Danio rerio: one gene and its partner. The protein of the gene in region 2 interacts with the protein of the main gene of each other region in a pairwise test. Links are inferred from orthologs where the notes say so. Each region holds a gene or a part of one and is shown on either strand. Other genes may lie near its edges.

Region 1 (3,528 bases), on a different chromosome or scaffold from region 2:
ACTTAATCTGAAGCGAAAGCTGAAATACATTTGAAATGAAAATATATTCTGTGTGTATCACTGAGCATTTCATTTATCATCATCATCATCATTCGGCGTAACATACATTTGTACAAAAAAATGAGACAACATAACAGTTCTGAGCTATAAAAAATAAGAGATCATATTAATTTTTATTACTGACAAATGTATGAAACCTGGTGGTTTGAAGAATGGTGGCAGAGATGTAAAATGATGATTTATTAATAACTTAGGGCTGCACTGTGATCCATAATATGCCATCAAATGATTATTGTAGGGCGTCATGGTGGCACAGTGGGTAGCACAATCGCCTCACAACAAGCTACATCAGTTAGCATTTCTGTGTGGAGTTTGCATCTTCCCATTGTGTTCGCATTGGTTTCCCCCACAAGACATGCGGTATGAATTGGGTAGACTAAATTGTCCATAGTGTATGTGTGTAAATGCAAGAGTGTATGGGTGTTTCCCGGTATATGCTGGATAAGTTGGTGGTTCATTCCACTGTGGGGTCTCCAGATTGATAAAGGGATGAAGTTGGGAAAAAAAAAGAACATTTACTGAATATAACTAACAGGACTTTTTTGTGGCTGATATAAACTATTGTTGTCTTAAAAGTTGTAAATTTCTTTAGGTTAATTGTTTTTTAATAAGATTAAAATAAATCTGGACACATTAAAATACACAAAAGTCTTGCATTACACTTATTGTGTTGATGCATGAAACCCTTAAATTATTAATGGACCCATGTACACACTGAGGCAATGAAAGCTGAATAACAAAAAAAAAGTCTTAAGAAAAAATACTCAGGTTTATTGAAATAATGTGCCAAGGGAATACATAGTTCTCAAATAAAGTGAGATAGGCTTTTATAAACGGTTCCCTTGTATGTGAATACAACAAAGTGAGGGAATGATCGTGTCCTTGTCACTGAAAACAAGCTTGTTCAAACTTGTTCAATTTATAAAAGTGCTCCTGTCAGAAAACTCTGATGAAACTGCACCACAGCCGCTGTGCTGGAGGTGATTTAAATAACACCCATATCCTCCATCAAGACCAGAGAAACCTCCCTCTTTGATTCATCAGTTACAGTTGTAATCATCCCCAGGCTCTTCAGCGCAGTTTAAATGATTCTCCAGCTCCTGAATGACAGCTTCCCTTCCCATTTGGTCGTTTTTCCTCTTTTCCACGATCAGATCCTCTAAACTTTGAAAGTCCAAAACGTGACTTTTCTTCTCGGAGAGCTGCAGTTTCATCTTGTACGGCTGTTTACCGATGCGTATTTCGCCTCCGACTTTAAACTCGCGTTTTCCAAACCTGCACCAAGCGGCGAAGCACTCCGAGTTCTTCCAGCAAACGTCCCGCTCCTTCAAGCCCACCTGCTCCATGGCATTCTGGACCACCGCGTCCGAGCTCAGCGCGCGAAACTTATACAGCTCGTTCACGATTCTGCCCCTTTTACCTTGACTCGCGTCCAAAAGAAAGTCGCATTTGATCTCGTTTCTGTGCAAATGAACCACCTGTAGCTCGCCGACACACACCGCCCAGTGCGGGAACTGACCGATGGCCACGAACTCCACCAGGTCGCCGGCTTTGCACTTGTTCGCCAAGTTCTCGCGCGACAGCGTGCCCACTTCACCAAACCGACTATTCCGCTCGTATATGACCTCGTCGCGATAATACACGGCGCACTCCAGCTCGTTCCGGCAGTCGTAATGTTTGACATCTTCATTCTCCGTCTCGTCCATGTTCTCCTCCTGCTCGTCGTCATCGGCGGAGAAAATATAAGAGACGCCGATCCGCGGAGCGTCGTCCTCTGGGTCAAATCCATTAGGGTCAGCTGTCGGTAATTCATTGTAATTCAAGTGTGTGAGCTTCTCCACTTGATTCCCCATAACAGCGTCCGACACTCGTTCCGCGTCCCACCTGTACAGGTCGAGGAGATTTCAAAAACGCAACACGTAATCCGGCTTTGGAGCCCAGTTCAGGTCAAAGTCCATGTTTTCTGAATGTCCGCGAGGAGTATTTATGTAGCATATCGTACATTTGTCGAAATTGTTTGCCGGAGTTTAGATTATGTTGAGTTTCGGTCTGCGTTTTGAACAGGTGCGTCTCACCTGCTCACTTCCTGGTGCGAGCCGGGGACGGGGGAAGCCCATCCGACACTACAGCTGAAGTCCGACGGCGAGCGTCTCTTGTTGAGAAATGAGGGGGTTTGAAGAGTTATTTCCTCTGTTTGTGCGTGATGGACGGCGTCCGACACTCTTTGAAGTTCTGGCTGAGGCAGTAGCAGAGCTCTGTGTGAAATAGTAGCGGGCACGGGGATGTTTACACAAGGCACGGGCAGTTAAAGAGACAGCGCACATTTATGACTGCCAGATGATACATGGTCATTAAACTGAAAAATTAAACTCTGAGAGGCTAACGTTTAAATTATAGAGCATGAATTGTGACTACTTTTTTGATAAAATTATAAACATAGGACTTAAACTTATACAGTATTTATTTGTGTAAAGAGGTCAAATACTATAGCTGAGGAGACCTATCAAACAGTTTTATTGACTTGGCGTATCACGTGATATTTGAACTTTAAACTCATATGTTGACATTTTCAGGCAAGACATTATATTTAAAATGAGTGCAGATTAGCCTAGTTATTTATTACTTGGTTATACATTTGAACAATAAATATTGGGATGGCTCACAAAAGGTTAAAGAAAAACATTTCTGAAAAGGACTTGGTGATAAGAAGAGAGGAAAATGTGAAGAAGCATGTGGACAAATGAAATTACTCAAAGCGATATACTCCACTGAAGGTACACATTTTACAGTTTTTGCTTTACCTGGGAATCAACCCCACAACCTTGGCATTGCTAGTGCTATGCTCTACTTCTCTATATTATTCAATGTAGATGTTATAGTGAATCTTCATGAATTAAAAATAGCTGTGAGGGACACATCATTCAATGGAAAAGACTTTTTGTAAAAAAAAAAAAAAAAAAAAATCCCTCTGACAAGAATAAAAAAGATATGCTATAACAAATTAAGACAGTACCCCCAACTGAATGAACTGTACTTCTGAATTTCACAAGCCTTTTATCACTTGTATAAAATTGAGCATGGTGTCTACCCCAAATAAAGTCCATTACTGTGTTCTTCACATTGAATTTAGTGACAGCCTCTTCAGAGGCTCTCCCTGGAGGTACTTCAGCTTGTGATTTCCAGTCCGGGGCAGGAGGGTCTGAAAGCCACTGCTGTGTTTATAGTCCTGCGTTGTGGATTGGCAAACAGCAAGCCCCTGGCTGTCAGTCCATCAGCCCACTGCAGGGGCGTCTCATGCCCAGAAGCGTGTTTCAGCTCTTAATTACCTAACAGAACAGCTGGCCCACAAGTCTGCCATGTATTTGCTCACCTCAGCACGAGGACGTCTGCCTGTCGCCGTAAGGCATATCACCAGTTAAACCAGCTATAAACTGAGTGTCCATCTCCCAGCACCTCAGTAAAAAAATC
Region 2 (3,835 bases):
AAATTAGGCTGGAGGTATTTATTAAAGATTTTCTGAATTTCTATTGAATTTATAAGAGTTGTAATTTGTCGAACTTTGCTTGATACCGTCACAACATAGAACAGTTTTAGATTTGCTTCAAAAATACGCTGATGATTTTTTATACAGCCTTTGTCAATAACAAAGGCTATTTTCTATGGCAATAATATTTCATTATTAAATGTACAATTAAAAACAACAAACAAATTAATACATAAATTAAATAAGATTTTTAGTGTTAATAAATTACAAAACGTCTAACATTTCTCCTGGTGACACTTTGCTAAAAATGTGCTTACGAGTATTCATTTTATATATATATATATATATATATATATATATATATAAAAGCCTTCTGCAATCATTAAAAGCAGGGCAGCCCAGTAGAATATGTTTTACTGTAAGAGCAGTTGTGCAGAACAAACAGTAAGTAGGAGTCATCAAATTTAAGCAAAAACACATTAGTTATTCTCTTATATTTAATACAACATCTTGTAAAAATCACTTGATTAATTCTAGCCTTAAAATGTCTTAAAACTCTGAGGTTTGCTTCAAAAACATTTTTATTCTAAAATGTAATGACACAGCCGTTTTTATAGCAAGACATCCATGGAGGACAAAGAAATGCTTAACCATTTAACACATTTTTAATGATGACAATACTAATTATATAATTTTTTGTCATGCATGACAGTAAAAACACAACATTACATCAACAACCCATATGCTCAGTGGTGCTGACCTGTAATGTAAGCTCACAGCAAGCTTCAGGGGAACGACACGTCTCAAAGAAATCTTTCCCTGCCCGTGATTCCCTGAACTCTGTTGAATAGATAATCAAGCCAGTCAGAGATGAAAGGATGAACAGACTTACTTCATAATAAATAATCACACGTAGAACTGGCAGCGCTCATCAGCTACACAATATAACATTTCAGCATCGACAATAGTCACATCGATCACAGGACGTACAATGCTGAGATGGGATGGTAGTTGATCAAGCAATACAATTCAGAACATGTGACTTGTGGAGTCATTATAAAAAGTATTTGCAAATATGGACCATAATGGATTTTAATTTAAAGGCTTGTGATTGTGTAAGTATTTTAAGTTTTAAACTATTCGCACACAAGTAATTATATAATTTGTAGATTTGCCATTATTAATAGTATATCGTTATTTACACTATGAGGACCATACATTTTTATTTTATATTTGATTATTCAATTTCTGTACCTGAATGCTGTCATACTCATTTCATGTGTATCTTTGCTATATCGTGATCATCTATGCTTGTAAATTGTTTATTATATTTTATGCAAATGTACTCCAATAGAAAACCTTACAAAATAACAAATTCTTTACAAATAGAGCTATACAAGTCATCTGGTGAAATAGTATTCATATACTGCAATATACAGTTGAAGAGAAAATTAATAGCCCTCCTGTGAATATCTACTCTTTTTTTTTTTTTTTTTTTTTTTCCCCCCAAGTGATGTTTGCATTTCTAATACTACTATATTTTTTCATCTGAATAAAGTCTTACTTCTTTTAGTATTTCTGGAATAATAATAATAAAAAAAAGATCAATATTATAATTTGTTTTTTAATATTTATTTATTTATTTGACATGGACATCACAATTACATTGGACAACCAAATGCATTTGTTTAAGTGTTTAAGCAAACTTGCTAATTCTCAACACCTGTCCATAGGAGGCTTGAAAAAATTGGCAAAATGGAAATATAATAAAACATATACACAACATTATATTTCTTTACAGAAAATGACTGAAGCAAAAGCAAAGGAGACATGATCCAACAAACTAACAGTAGACTTGCTTGTGCAAACACTGCTGTTTTGTTTTAAACCACTTTTTTTAAGAGCACTACTAAAAATATTTAGATTTCTTTCTGATTTAAGGCTAACAGATAAATCTTTCCACAGTTTGGCTCCCTTTACAGAGAAGACAGATTGACCAAATGAGGTCTTACACTTTGGCACTAGACAGTCATAGATTTGATGCCTACGTACTAGATCAGAAAACAGCATTGGAACATGATTATTTAAACATTTAAAAACCAATTTAAGATAATTCAATTTAATATAACTATTAAAACTAAAAAGGTTATGTTTACATAAAACATCACATTGATGCCATCGCATAGGCTTTAAGTCCATAATTTTAACAACTTGTTTATATATTGAGTCACTAGGCGTTAATGTAGTTAAAGAGGCTTGTGACCAAGATGTAATGCAATATGTCAAGTGAGAGAATATCATTGTGTGCATGTATAATTTTGCAGTATGATATGTTAAAAACCTTCTAATAAAACGAAAACAGTTTAGACTTTGCTTAACTTTCTTACTCAGATTATCAGCCTCTTTAGAATTGTATTTATCCGATTGGCTACTGAACAAACTATTGGTATCCATTGAGTTGCCTACCTAACCTAACTTGTGAAATAACTAGTAAAATATGATGTACTGGCATCGTGGGAAAGACTAAAGAAATTGATCATTAGAGATCAGAGTTTAAAACTATTATGTTAAAAAATGTATTGGAAAAAAACTGTTAAAGAGCACTTAGAAATATTTGAAAAAAATAACTAAAATATCACAGGAGGGCTAATAATTTTGCCTTGAACTGTATTGCTGAAAAACAAAATATTATTTCTTTTAATATCATGCAGCCAAAGTTATTGTTACACACCTGGCAGGTAGCGTCCAGCCTGTCTCATACACCACACTGGAATGTGCTCGATCTCTTCTCCTCGCGCCGCTCTCAGGAATGTGTCATTCCTCAACTCTGGAAAGTCTTTTGGGCTGAGAGAAAATAATGCAATATTTAATTATTTATCAGACAACATTACATTTCTCCAGTGGTGAAGTGAGGCTAGATAAGGGTCAGGGTGAAACTGACCCATACAAATTGACAGCTCTTCTACACATCGTCACCTAAGAATTCTAAGGTTCTATCTGACATTTTTTTCAAAATTGAGTTATAAGATAATAAGATATATTCTTAATAAATGACAACTTATTTACATTATGGCATTAATTTTTGTTGTTTAAAACCTAAAACTTTTTCTTAAAAAAAACAAATGTTACACACATACTGTTTGCTATGGAATGTAAAAACTTTAAAGCTCAATGTCTCAAAATCATTCGGAACGCAGATAGATCCTTATAATTTCAAGGTGACAACAATAAATTACTACATGTACATGAAGAAAATCTGTGATCTTACTGACTTTACAGCTGTATTTCTATATTGTTTTGAATGGTACATGTAAGTGAAAGAGCTGTAAATTTGAGTGACTGACCCATTCAAGCGGTCCTGCTGTAAAACAGTCCCTGAATGATCTTTGCTCACAGTCTCTACACACCATACCTGAGGCGCAGATGTGAATAATCACGTAGAAAAAGGACAATCTTTATAAATTGAGATTTCTATATCAAGCTTTCCATGGATGCATGGTTTATTAGATAGGACAATATTTGGAACATGAGAAAAATAAATAAATAGAAATACTCTAAAAATTGCCTTTAAAGCTGTTCAAATTAAGTTTAGCAATACACATTACTTATTATAAAAAAAAGTTTATAAATATATATTTATGGAATGAAATTTACTTAATGTCTTCATGGAAAGTAATTTTTACTTTATATTATGGCGATTTTGTTGCATTAAAAAAATACCTATTTAAACATCTGTTTAGCTGCGCCTTTATAGAATGAGCACTGTGGAACGTCCCATAGATCACACTATTACATCTTCCTTTTCTTTTTCATTTCTTTAAAACCTGTTTTAACA

What was found.
Region 1: the proteins of urod (region 2) and lratd2b interact in binary tests that used the Homo sapiens proteins (3 or more experiments, as listed by UniProt). The two-hybrid records come from large-scale screens. The link is inferred for Danio rerio from reciprocal best matches to the Homo sapiens genes UROD and LRATD2.

The regions. Positions count from the first base shown.
Region 1 is NC_133191.1:26,526,457-26,529,984, forward strand, and holds lratd2b (uncharacterized protein LOC550535), read right to left. Parts: upstream 2,250-3,528; 5' UTR 1,914-2,249; coding exon 1,101-1,913; 3' UTR 811-1,100; downstream 1-810.
Region 2 is NC_133177.1:30,909,391-30,913,225, forward strand, and holds part of urod (uroporphyrinogen decarboxylase), read right to left. Parts: intron 2,845-3,835; coding exon 2,732-2,844; intron 841-2,731; coding exon 761-840; intron 1-760. UniProt on the Homo sapiens protein: Catalyzes the sequential decarboxylation of the four acetate side chains of uroporphyrinogen to form coproporphyrinogen and participates in the fifth step in the heme biosynthetic pathway.